3 linked regions of the Arabidopsis thaliana genome follow. The protein of the gene in region 1 interacts with the protein of each later gene in a pairwise test. Each region holds a gene or a part of one and is shown in the gene's direction. Other genes may lie near its edges.

Region 1 (4,158 bases):
AAAACCCATCATCAATTAACACATCAACACAAACATAAAGACATATAAGTTGCTCATGAAGAACTTATAATGGTGGAACCAGTGAGCCTTTGAGATCTGTCATAATCGTCTCTGAAATTGTCTCAAATCGAGAGAGAAATGAGAAATCTTAAAATTTTACCCTAAATAATTAAACCCTAGCTTTTAATTATTACTGCACAAATTATGTCTAAATAATTTTGCCCATTTACTAGCGAGCTTATATGGTTTGTAATCCATTTTAAACACTTTAATTTTGGGCTTCACCAAAACCCAACCATTATTATTTGGACGTGGACATCCCATGGTCAGAAAACTCATTCGATAACCCTACATTTGATGATCAAAGTGGCACGGAAGCTCGTTCGATCTACAAGTTTTGTGGTGAGGAGACTTCTCAGTTTTTCTTCTAGTGTGGTTGTACTTCAGGTAAATTCTTTTCAATACTTAGTGGAATTTTTCGCTAACTGTTTTGTGTAAATAAGGACGAGGCCTCCATAGCGTTCAGTGCTTTAACAATGCCGTATCCACTCTGCTAATCTTGGATTTCAAGAGGTATGACAGTTTGTGTTGTGATAGGAGCCTTCATTAAATTAAATAATTTCAACAATTTATTTATTTTTAGAACCAAAAGATTTTTCAAAAATTTTGATTATCAAAAAAAAATCCAACAGATTTTCTGTTAAAATGAAAATATATATTAGATTGTTTTTAAAAAAAATCATCTGCCGGAATTTGAATCTGGACATGCTTATTTTCAAAAAAACATTTTAGCTAATGTGCTAGTGCATATGTTTTTGCTAAGGTATGAATTTAAATTGGATATATAGATCAATTTATTTATTTTAAAACCAAAAAAAATTTAAAAAGAAACTTAGCGGGATATAAAATAAATATATATTAAATTTAAAAAAAAAAGATTTTCCGCTACGGGAATTTGAACCTGAAAATGCTGATTTTTAAAGAAAATTTAGCTAATGTGCTACATGAGATGTTTTTTTTGCTAAAGTATGAGTTTAAATTGGATATATACATCATTCAATTTATTTTTCTAATCTAGAATTTGCTTTCCTAGGACAAATATAGGTACTGAATTATTAAAGAACATATTTTTTGGTAAGATATAAGTGAGTTTTTATATAATTTTGATGATTTTAGGTAAGTTGATGTGATTTACTGTAAAGTCTTTTCAAATTCTATCTAAAACTATGAGATTTAGATTTCTGTATTTTTAACTAAAGAAGTCTTTTCAAATCCTTTCAAATCCTTCAAAATTAATAAGAATCAAATCCACTAACTATTTTCAGTAACAGTAAAAAGGTTGATTTTTAAATTTTTAATTTAATAACACTCAATTTCATTTAAAAATTTAAAATCCATAATTAAATAACATAAAATTTATAAATTTTACATAAATTATTAGATTGAATACACCGCTCTAAATATACACAATGTAAAAAGTCTGTTTAAGATCAATTATAGATTTAACTTAAATCTAAAGGCCCATAATACCGTCCTGTACATCATATAGTTATCTCAAGTTGTAATACTGTAATACCCGTTGGGCCCAGTGGCCCATTTATCAGATTTCAAATAACAGATCTCAACACTAGCATGGCTACACACGTGTCAGATTCAATGCATCAGTCATATCTTCAGCATCCAACACTTGTCAACCTTCCATTGGATCTCTTAACTCTACGCCTCGAAAACAGTTTTTATTTATTTATCATTCCATTTCTCATTGTATCTTCATCAGTCTCTTCTTATTCCATTTTTTCAAACCACTTGCAAAATTCGAATCAGATCTTCTCTTCAATCGAAAAAAAAGAAAGGTAAATCTCTCTCTCTCTAATCATCGTTCGTTTCGTAGTTTCTTCTTCTACGTGTAGATCTGATCTTTGATTGTATGTTTCTGGAGATCTCGATCTCATCGATTCTCTGTTCTTATCACTGATTCAGTGTGTTTGATATCTAAATCCGATTTGTGTGTAGGATGTTAAAATTTAGGTTTCGGTTTTGTTTCTGCTTTTGAACGATTTTGCTCTAGATTCGTTATCCGTGAAGAACATAGACGAGTATGTAGATCTTACTTCGGATTCGCGTTGAAGAATTTTCTCTAGATTCGTCACCTATGAAGAAGATTCATTGTGTTCTTAATCTAGATGATTAGGTTATTGTTTCGACTCATTTGTTTATGCCTATTTTCTCTATGTTCTTAATCGGTGAAGAAATGTATCAATGTGTGTATGTTTTGGGTTCTGATTTTGTAGGATTTGCTCTAGATTGTTGAATCGAAGATGTCGACAAGGGAAGAGAATGTTTACATGGCGAAATTAGCCGAACAAGCTGAACGTTACGAAGAAATGGTTGAATTCATGGAGAAAGTTGCGAAAACTGTTGATGTTGAGGAACTTTCAGTTGAAGAGAGGAATCTTCTCTCTGTTGCTTACAAGAACGTGATTGGAGCGAGAAGAGCTTCGTGGAGAATCATTTCTTCGATTGAGCAGAAAGAAGAGAGCAAAGGGAACGAAGATCATGTTGCTATTATCAAGGATTACAGAGGAAAGATTGAATCCGAGCTTAGCAAAATCTGTGATGGGATTTTGAATGTTCTTGAAGCTCATCTTATTCCTTCTGCTTCACCAGCTGAATCTAAAGTGTTTTATCTTAAGATGAAGGGTGATTATCATAGGTATCTTGCTGAGTTTAAGGCTGGTGCTGAAAGGAAAGAAGCTGCTGAAAGCACTTTGGTTGCTTACAAGTCTGCTTCCGTAAGTCATTCTTTACAACGTTTTTGAATGTTGTTTTCTTTTGTGGGTATGATTGATTTTGTTGTTGTGATAATGCAGGACATTGCCACTGCTGAGTTAGCTCCTACTCACCCGATAAGGCTTGGTCTTGCACTCAACTTCTCTGTGTTTTACTATGAAATCCTCAACTCGCCTGATCGTGCTTGCAGCCTCGCAAAGCAGGTTTGTGTAGTACACCTGATTTTCACTTTTTGCTTCGTGTGTTATTATTATCTCAGTGAATGAAACAGCTATTTTGGGTTTGTGCAGGCGTTTGATGATGCAATCGCTGAGTTAGATACATTGGGTGAGGAATCATACAAGGACAGTACACTGATTATGCAGCTTCTTAGAGACAATCTCACTCTCTGGACTTCAGATATGACTGTAAGTATTAACAACACAATATACGTTGATCACTAAGTTATGTTGTTGACATGATGGTTTCTTTTTTGGTGAATAGGACGAAGCAGGAGATGAGATTAAGGAGGCATCAAAGCCCGATGGTGCCGAGTAAACCCGAAGAAGAGGAAGAGTCATTTTATAATGGTAGAAAACTTTCATGTGATAATCTGAGTGAGGGATAGCTCAGGATTCTTATAAGAGACACAGTTTTATTGTTGTTTGTTTGTTTTGAAACTACTTGCGATTTATCATTCCTCCTTTAGCTTCCTCAATATTTCCTATTCTCCTTTCTAATGAAATCAAAACTTGGTTATTTCTGATATGGTAGTTGTCTTTATTTTCTATTTTTTTGGTTATTGATTTGATCAACTAAAAAAGTGTGATAACTTTCTCAAATTGATTAATTAATGTACGAAAACACTTGCTGCAAATGGATCACTTCCATGACATTATACTTTGATATAATATATTACAAGAAATAAAAGGTAACTAAAGTAGAGAAAACAAGAAACCATATTTATAACAAAATATTTCATTTCAAACAATGGTAAAAGATCTCAGATAACATAGGAGACAGACAAGTTACTACTAATAAAGGAGAGAACCACACCAAAATCCTAATCTTGTTAATTAACACTTCCAATAAGTTACTGAAACTCAAAATCACTGAATAAGCTAGTGAACAAGTGAAGAGCTACTCTGTGTCAAGTGCAAAGCAGAGGACTCCACGGCACCTGAAAGTCCAAAGGCTGATCTTGTCGCCGACTTTTAAGCTGCTACTTTTGACGACATCATTCCAACCCCAATTCAAAGTGTAATTCAATGTTCCATGTCCAGAGTCCTTCTCCATCGCCCATATCTTGAAACGCAAACCCCACTTTTGAAATCTTTGGTTCACAAGAACCGTTCCCACACCAATATTCTCGTCGTCTTCTTCATCATT
Region 2 (5,617 bases), on another chromosome or scaffold:
TTTACTTTTTTTTCTTTCACAGATTTAATCTTCATCTCACATCTCAAAAGATAAATTTTTATTCTGCAGTAAAAAATTCATTAGCAAACTCTCTTTAATTAAATATCAAAATATGTTTTTTAATGTAAAAATATTAATTAATATCTTAAACTTTGTCTTTTTAGTGAAATATCTTATATATTATAACAGAAGAAGTATATATATATATATATATATAAAAAAAATAAAGATGTATATTGGTTACCCAAAATTAGAAGTTCACAAGAAAATCAATATTCAATATTTACTCAATGAAATTTTCAACAAAAAAAAGTCTTAAATAAAGAAAGATTTACCCACTGAATCTGCTGAACCCGTGGCTCCGTCGGTTTTGATTAGTCACCGCCATTCTTTCCGAAGAAAAACAATAATAACAGTAATACTAATATATAGGTGGCTGTAATGTTGCATCTTGATCAAAAAGAGAAATAATTTTGTAGTTATTTTAAGGAAAAAGATGAACGTGATCATTTTCCATCATTCAGTTTTTTTTTTTTTTTCATTTTCCAACATTCATACATAGGTATTTTAAACTTTTAGATGATTCAAGGAACTATTTTAGGTTATAATAATGTATACAAAAAATTAGATTACTCAATAATTAATATCTCATCAATATTGCTGAAAATCACATCTGTTAATTTTATCAAAAAAAAATATTACTAAAAAACAGTTTAATAAGAAAATATTACTGAAAATAACGTTTAATAAGAAAATAAATATTGTATGATTATTAGATTTTTTCTGATAATATGTTTAATTGATTTATCAAATCTCAAGAATAAAAGGAACGTTGTTCCTATGTTTAACTGAAGGATATAAGAACATTGATAAACTTCTAAACTAGAACCAGGGGTAAAAGGATTATCAAATCTCAATAATAAAAGGAACGTTCTTCCTATGTTAACACATTGATAATTCTTTAATTTACTGGTAAAAAATATACGGTTTACAAAATATATATATATATATATATATATATATATATATATATATATATATATACGGTTTTAATAGTTACCGATCACAAAAACTATTAAAATTAATAGTATGAAAATATTATCACCACGATTTTTGTATTACTAATTTTATTGCTCTTAATTATTTTGTCATCTTTTATCGTTATTTTTCCATTAAAAATAAATACGGCTTTGTGTCACGAATAAGAAAACATATTTTTTAGTAAAACAAATTCGACTAAAATAAAAAGGAAAATGTTTTGATCACATTTTTATATTGTATTACAGGAAATAACCAATGATAGATAATAATATATTATTCAATTGTCATCATTTCTTAGTTGACAAAAAAAAATCTATACATGTTTCCGAGACGTTAAAAGTATTTACAAAACTACTCCAACAATTCACATTTGTTTTATAACAAATAGGGACAAAAATGATCATTTTAAGCTTATTGAATAACTATGATCGTTTATTTTTGTCAAACAAATGGATGGTTTATTTAATTAAGTCAAGTCATAAGAAAAAATTAATAGTAAGTGTGTAAGAAAAAAATTAAAAAGTCACAAATGGTCCCATACGTGTGATTCGGCACGATACTTCCTAAAAGCATACCACTAGGCTCTCTCCTATATAACTTCATCTCCACCAACGATGCATTTTCGTCCTCAGATCTCATCTCACTCACAAGAGAGAGATAGAGAGAGAAAAAGGCTCTGCTTTCTACATTATTTACGATTATACACTTTCCAACATGGCGGCCTCTGTAGATAATCGCCAATACGCTCGTCTCGAGCCAGGTTTGAACGGCGTGGTTCGTTCTTACAAACCTCCCGTTCCAGGCCGGTCCGATTCCCCTAAGGCGCACCAGAACCAAACCACCAACCAAACCGTGTTCTTGAAACCAGCCAAGGTTCATGACGATGACGAAGACGTGTCGAGCGAAGACGAGAACGAGACACACAACAGCAACGCCGTGTACTACAAGGAGATGATAAGAAAATCCAACGCCGAGCTTGAACCGTCCGTTTTGGACCCGAGGGACGAATACACGGCTGATAGCTGGATCGAGCGTAACCCTTCCATGGTACGTCTCACAGGGAAACATCCCTTCAACTCCGAGGCGCCTCTTAACCGTTTAATGCACCACGGGTTTATCACCCCTGTCCCGTTGCACTACGTTCGTAACCACGGCCACGTCCCTAAAGCCCAATGGGCCGAATGGACGGTCGAGGTGACCGGATTCGTCAAACGGCCCATGAAATTCACCATGGACCAGCTCGTCTCCGAGTTTGCTTACCGCGAGTTCGCCGCGACGCTAGTCTGCGCGGGGAACCGCCGTAAGGAACAGAACATGGTGAAGAAGTCAAAGGGATTCAACTGGGGATCCGCCGGAGTTTCCACCTCCGTGTGGCGTGGTGTCCCTCTCTGCGACGTACTGCGTCGCTGCGGGATCTTTAGCCGAAAAGGCGGCGCTCTCAACGTCTGCTTCGAAGGGTCGGAGGATCTTCCGGGCGGTGCCGGAACTGCTGGTTCCAAATACGGAACGAGCATCAAGAAGGAATATGCCATGGATCCATCAAGAGACATCATTTTGGCTTATATGCAAAACGGAGAGTATCTAACACCAGACCACGGTTTTCCGGTTCGGATCATCATCCCCGGTTTCATTGGTGGCCGGATGGTTAAATGGTTGAAACGAATCATTGTCACAACTAAAGAATCCGACAATTTCTACCATTTCAAGGACAACAGAGTTTTACCTTCTTTGGTAGACGCCGAACTCGCCGACGAAGAAGGTACATAAAATCTTTTTGCTTCAATAAATCTCATTAAGATGAACTAATTGATATGTTTAAAAAGTCTCCGAACCTATAGGAGAAAAACAAAAACAGAAATCATATTAAAAAATGAAAAACTAATGTTGGTGGATGATGTCAGCTTCTGTGACTTACATAAATTCAAATTCAATGGTTTTGTTTTAGGTTGGTGGTATAAGCCAGAGTACATAATCAACGAGCTAAACATAAACTCCGTGATTACGACGCCATGTCACGAGGAGATTCTTCCCATCAACGCTTTCACAACCCAAAGACCTTATACTTTAAAGGGTTACGCATATTCCGGTACTTGTCCTTTTAACATTTTAATTTAATAAATACGTTATTTCATAGGATGATTTAATTTAATAGTAACAATAATCTTTATACAAAAAAAAACAGGAGGTGGAAAAAAAGTGACCCGTGTGGAGGTCACGGTAGATGGTGGAGAGACATGGAACGTATGTGCACTTGACCATCAAGAGAAGCCAAACAAGTATGGGAAGTTCTGGTGTTGGTGTTTTTGGTCACTTGAGGTTGAGGTTTTGGACTTGCTTAGTGCCAAAGAGATTGCTGTTCGTGCATGGGACGAGACTCTCAACACGCAGCCCGAGAAAATGATATGGAATCTCATGGGGATGATGAATAACTGCTGGTTTAGAGTGAAGACTAACGTGTGCAAGCCACACAAGGGAGAGATTGGGATTGTGTTCGAGCATCCAACGCTTCCTGGTAATGAATCTGGTGGATGGATGGCGAAGGAACGTCACCTCGAAAAATCGGCTGACGCGCCTCCTAGTCTAAAGAAGTCTGTCTCGACGCCGTTTATGAACACAACTGCGAAGATGTACTCGATGTCCGAGGTCAAGAAGCATAATTCGGCTGACTCTTGCTGGATCATTGTCCATGGACATATCTATGATTGTACACGATTCCTTATGGATCACCCGGGTGGTTCGGATTCAATCTTGATCAATGCTGGTACGGATTGTACGGAGGAGTTTGAAGCCATTCACTCGGATAAAGCCAAGAAGATGCTTGAGGATTACCGTATCGGTGAGCTCATCACCACTGGTTATTCCTCTGACTCTTCCTCGCCTAACAACTCGGTTCACGGTTCATCCGCCGTGTTCTCGCTGTTGGCTCCCATTGGAGAGGCGACTCCGGTTAGGAACCTCGCTTTGGTTAATCCCCGGGCTAAAGTCCCGGTTCAACTCGTCGAAAAGACTTCCATTTCTCATGATGTTCGTAAATTCCGGTTTGCTTTACCGGTTGAGGATATGGTTCTAGGCTTACCGGTTGGTAAGCACATTTTCCTTTGCGCCACCATCAATGACAAGCTCTGCCTCAGAGCTTACACACCAAGCAGCACCGTTGATGTGGTTGGCTACTTCGAGCTCGTGGTCAAGATTTACTTTGGCGGTGTCCACCCAAGATTCCCTAACGGCGGGCTCATGTCTCAGTACCTAGACTCTTTGCCTATAGGGTCAACTTTGGAGATTAAAGGACCATTGGGTCACGTTGAGTATCTCGGCAAGGGTAGTTTCACGGTTCACGGTAAACCAAAGTTTGCTGATAAATTGGCAATGTTGGCAGGTGGAACCGGAATAACTCCGGTTTACCAAATTATCCAAGCCATTCTCAAGGATCCAGAGGATGAGACTGAAATGTACGTCATTTATGCTAACCGGACCGAGGAAGATATTCTCCTAAGGGAGGAACTGGATGGTTGGGCAGAGCAATACCCGGACCGGTTAAAGGTTTGGTACGTAGTGGAATCAGCTAAGGAAGGTTGGGCATACAGTACCGGGTTTATTTCCGAGGCGATTATGCGAGAACATATCCCTGATGGATTAGATGGCTCAGCCCTTGCCATGGCTTGCGGACCACCACCGATGATTCAGTTTGCGGTTCAGCCGAATTTGGAGAAGATGCAATATAACATCAAGGAGGATTTCTTGATATTCTAGTCTAAAGCCAAGATATTTCAAAGTCAAAACGTTAAGTCGTCAAAAAGCCTAGTGTTATGATAGATTCTAAATAAGTATTGAGGGATTTGTTTGTATATAATGTTGGTTCTTTAAAGTCTTGGATTTGGAAATATAATGTGTTCGTTGTATTCACGATCGATATTTTTTTTCACAATAATATACAAAAAGTAATTTCAGAAATTTTTGTGGTTAGGTTATCGTACATTGAATTTTCTGCGTTTACTTCACATTATGAATATCAATTTGAATATGTTCATTTTTTCATATGTCTTTGTCGTTAAAAAATAAAATAAAAATTCTACAGCTATTAGACACCAATAATCATTTTCAAAGAGAATAAAGCCAAAGCGAAGTAGTTTCCTGTTGTGCAAGTTGAAACCAAACTCGTCCATTAGTTCCTATATTAATCTTCACCACATATATGATTTAAGATTAGGGGGAGTGAATTTACTTTTTTCATTTGTTTTATTAACTTGTAATTTAGAAGACTCTTCCTTTTTGGGTGATTAGTTTAACAATATATCAATCGTTTGAGAATCTTTAGAGTTTTCAGTTAATATTCAATTTGTTCTTATTAAAATTGTACATGTTTATAAAGTATGTTTCTAGCATCCAAACTCTTCTCCATTACAGGATTAGAATTTTAATACAGCATCACAAGTTATGTTCTAAGTTATCCAAAAGGAACATCATATCTATATAAAAATAGTGTGCTATTAAACCGATAGAAAATGTTACGATATATATATATATATATATCTAAATAAAATCATATATCAACGATTCATAACTTCAAGAACTTAAA
Region 3 (4,075 bases), on another chromosome or scaffold:
CCCCAACTTTATTTTGAGTTTATTTTGCAAAAATGATTTGAGACTGGGAAAATTTGTTTTATTTTCGTCAATGAATATGCGTAGTGACGTCGATACTAACAAAAGTACTACTCTTTACATTCGAATTTTTGGTGGTTGCGAAACGACAACAAAGATCTATGAAATTTGTGTTTCACATTAAAAACTCAAAATGTATTTTGAAACCCAATGTTTGGAAACATGTAAACAAATTAAAGTCTTTGTACTTTTCACCAACAAATGGAAAATATATATCTTCTAACAAATATGAGTATTTGAGGAGCTTGCATTTTCGATAAACAGCTCCTAATGTAGTACTCTTTGCATGTTCAAAAGATGGGACGTTTCCTTGAGGGCTGATTTCAACATTCAGAGAAAAAAAATTATATACATGTACGGAAATGAATAGTTAATCTTGTTGAATAGAATAAGAGAAGAGGAAAGAAAAACAAATATCGTATGTTATTATAGTTTATATATAATCAACTTGCAATAAAGGAAAAATTTGAAAAGCGTGACTAGATATGCACTTGGAGACTGACTTACATAGTAGATACGATAATCGAATATCTAGATATCTGGATGGTACTCATATTATTTGTTTATTACGTATGATCAAAGATTTATTAATATGTATCATCTTCTACTTGGCTTAATTATTAACTAGTTTAGTATTCGTCTCTAATCTTCAAAACAATCAACATAAATATCTAAACTATATTGGTCATATAAAATCTAATACTTTACTATCCACTTGTAATGTTTGTTTTGTTCAGAGTTGGAGACCCACATAAATTGATTTCCCTATCCGTATTGTAAAACAGACTATTGACACTTTGATCAAATCTCGTTGGATGACATGAACACCAATGATTTGAAGTGGGGAACAATTCAATAGTTAACAATATTTTTGTTATTTAAATGCATTTCAACTATACGGTCGATATTATTTGAAATGTTTGCAACTACATATTTAAGAAAACGTTAAGTGCAAATGACCCGTTCTTAAACACTCCGAATCTCATATAAAATAAAGTTTTTTTGTACTAATCAAACATATAATTTTCAGACTTTTAGTTTTGATAGAAACAAATTACATATACGAACACCCAAGTACTACTTTTTATATTCGATAATATTATTCTATCTTCGTTTAAAATATATTAACCACATCAAGAAAAGAGGAATGAAATATTCTAACGGAATTAATGTTTGCTGCCAAAAACAAAAAAAAAACAGAAGAAATTTTTACATTTGAGTTTATTGGTATAGTAGTTAGGATTTTGTGTTTTATTATATATTTAAACGAATTTATTTAATTATTTCTAATACAGAAAGATGTATATATTCTTATCTACTTTCATTTTGTTTTTAATGTTTTATTTCGTCAATACCCTTAGGGGAAAAAAGTGTATTTTGGCAAATTTTCCTTAAATCTAAGAGCAAGAACAAAAATTAAAGTCACACATGAAAGTTGAAAGTGATCCAAAGGGATTTGATATTAGAAAATAGAAAGTGAGATAAAACCAAAAATAATTTTATATATTTGCCTGGCTTTTTACAAGCATCTCACCCCCACTCACTCTTTACATTTAAGGATGATGAAAAATACTTCACTTTTGAAATAATCAAACACCATTTTTAATCTTTATAATAACTCTGACGTTGAAGACATCAACAAACACCTTTAATTACATATAATAGTTTATGGAATTTCTCTTCTTCTTCTTGAAATATATTATTTAATTGGAAATAGTTCAATCCCTCTGTCTCTTCTTCTGGAGTCTTGGACCCAACCCCATCATTCCAGAAATGACCGGCTAAAGTCAAGAACCTCTCTCTGAGCTCTCACCACTTTCTCTCTCTACTCCCTCTCTGCGTGTAGGATACTACTAGACAATTGACAACCAAAGACTAAAGCTGTGTTGTTGGTTCACTTCTGTTCTCTTTTCCAATGTTGTCATCAGCTAAGCATCAGAGAAACCATAGACTCTCTGCTACAAACAAGAACCAGACTCTCACCAAAGTTTCTTCCATTTCATCCTCATCACCATCGTCTTCTTCTTCATCATCATCAACCTCATCATCATCTCCTTTACCTTCTCAAGACTCTCAAGCCCAGAAGAGATCTCTTGTCACCATGGAAGAAGTTTGGAATGACATCAACCTTGCTTCCATCCACCACCTAAACCGACACAGCCCTCATCCACAACACAACCACGAGCCAAGGTTCAGGGGCCAAAACCACCACAACCAAAACCCTAACTCAATCTTCCAAGATTTTCTCAAAGGATCTTTGAACCAGGAACCAGCACCCACAAGCCAGACCACGGGTTCTGCGCCTAATGGCGATTCCACCACGGTCACTGTTCTTTACAGCTCTCCTTTTCCACCTCCTGCAACTGTTCTGAGCTTGAATTCCGGCGCTGGCTTCGAGTTTCTCGATAACCAAGATCCTCTTGTTACCTCAAACTCTAATCTTCATACCCACCATCACCTCTCAAACGCTCATGCCTTCAACACCTCTTTCGAGGCTCTGGTTCCATCCAGTTCTTTTGGTAAGAAAAGAGGCCAAGATTCCAATGAAGGTTCAGGGAATAGAAGACATAAGCGTATGATCAAGAACAGAGAATCTGCAGCTCGTTCCCGCGCTAGGAAACAGGAATGTGCCTCTCCTCTTCCCTCCTAATCTTCTTCTACTCATGTGTATCAAAAAGGGAAGAAAAGAAATGTGGTTTTGCCATCAAATTGCTTTTGATCTAAAAAAAGGTCTCTTGGTTTTGATTCTCATTTGCAGGCTTATACAAACGAGTTAGAACTTGAAGTTGCTCACTTGCAGGCAGAAAATGCAAGACTCAAGAGACAACAAGATCAGGTAAACAAGCAGAGCCAAGTTCTTAATGTTTTACCCTTTTGTAGCACTCATGTCATTAGATCAATTCCTTGTAGTTTAACCAACTTATAAAAAGAGACAGACAGACAGCCTCTGGAGTATATTTGTTTTACACACTTTTTTGTCCAATGACATTTTGGGTGGTTAGATTCTGATACTTCAGTTGTGTGTTTATTATGTGTGTGTGTGTGTGCAGTTAAAAATGGCTGCAGCAATTCAGCAACCCAAAAAGAACACACTTCAACGGTCTTCCACAGCTCCATTTTGAGAAATCTACAAGTCCTTGTTTCTCTTTTGGGGATTGAGATTGTCTCATGAAGAAGTGAAAAAATGGCAAAAGTTTGTACCCTTTTTTATTAGCTATAAGTATAACTAAGCCTAAAATTGTAGAACTAAGATATTGTAGGGGAAAAAAGAAGATGTAAAACAAAAGACCCGGAAAGAGAAAAGGATCTTTCAATTTCCTAAGGCACAGGAACACCTGTCCTGGGTCCTCTCTTAATGTTCTGTCGTTTTCCTATGCAAACCCTTTTTTCACTTCTGTACTAACTTCTACTTGTATTCTTGTTGTAGTAATGTTCTACTTCCTCTTCTAATACTAGTAAGAAAAAAAACCTTATGTTTTACTGTTTAACCAATTTGGTTCTTAAAAGAAGCAAAGGATCAAATGACCAATAGACAAAACAGTGCTCCACTTAAATGATGACAATACCAGAGAAAAGTGAGAAGGGGACCTATCACTGAACATTTAATTTTCTCCCTATCACATTATCACATAAATATCCAATCCTTTGGCTGTCTACCATACAAGCCAACAACTTGCAATATGATTTTGAAACCTCCAAGCCAATGGGAATTAAGTTCACCACTTTTCGGGTTGGTCAAGAGAGAACATGATAAGTTTCTTATTCAGCATGGTCACTCCCCACGTTTTATTTATATTCATAGTACATAGTATTGTAGCTTTTGCTCTAACTGGTCACCATCAAAAACACTAGGTGTGTTTGTATTCATTTGGTTTATCAAGAGAATAGTTTTTATCTTCTTTTGGCCCAATTTCATTTACCTGACAGTGATAAGTCTTGTTGATCCACTTTTGGTTGTTGATATATTGCTGTGTATTCTTTTAAGCAACCAAAAGTGGACATCAAGAGCTAATATGGT

Evidence for each region. The genes of interacting proteins can lie anywhere in the genome.
Region 2: the proteins of GRF3 (region 1) and NIA2 interact in a two-hybrid assay, tested with the Arabidopsis thaliana proteins (one study listed by BioGRID).
Region 3: the proteins of GRF3 (region 1) and FD interact in a two-hybrid assay, tested with the Arabidopsis thaliana proteins (one study listed by BioGRID).

The regions. Positions count from the first base shown.
Region 1 is NC_003076.8:15,407,959-15,412,116, forward strand, and holds GRF3 (general regulatory factor 3), read left to right. Parts: upstream 1-1,725; 5' UTR 1,726-1,853; exon of another isoform or gene 1,854-2,191; intron 2,192-2,291; 5' UTR 2,292-2,318; coding exon 2,319-2,792; intron 2,793-2,870; coding exon 2,871-2,993; intron 2,994-3,080; coding exon 3,081-3,197; coding exon of another isoform or gene 3,198-3,201; intron 3,202-3,273; coding exon 3,274-3,327; 3' UTR 3,328-3,643; downstream 3,644-4,158. Other genes in the region: AT5G38490 (B3 domain protein (DUF313)), read right to left, coding at 3,910-4,158. UniProt on the Arabidopsis thaliana protein: Is associated with a DNA binding complex that binds to the G box, a well-characterized cis-acting DNA regulatory element found in plant genes. Involved in the regulation of nutrient metabolism. Reciprocal negative transcription regulation of miR396.
Region 2 is NC_003070.9:14,156,862-14,162,478, forward strand, and holds NIA2 (nitrate reductase 2), read left to right. Parts: upstream 1-1,590; 5' UTR 1,591-1,755; coding exon 1,756-2,800; intron 2,801-2,986; coding exon 2,987-3,127; intron 3,128-3,223; coding exon 3,224-4,791; 3' UTR 4,792-5,077; downstream 5,078-5,617. UniProt on the Arabidopsis thaliana protein: Nitrate reductase is a key enzyme involved in the first step of nitrate assimilation in plants, fungi and bacteria.
Region 3 is NC_003075.7:17,002,774-17,006,848, forward strand, and holds FD (Basic-leucine zipper (bZIP) transcription factor family protein), read left to right. Parts: upstream 1-1,748; 5' UTR 1,749-1,972; coding exon 1,973-2,680; coding exon of another isoform or gene 2,681-2,707; exon of another isoform or gene 2,708-2,815; coding exon 2,816-2,893; intron 2,894-3,107; coding exon 3,108-3,179; 3' UTR 3,180-3,535; downstream 3,536-4,075. UniProt on the Arabidopsis thaliana protein: Transcription factor required for the transition to flowering promoted by FT.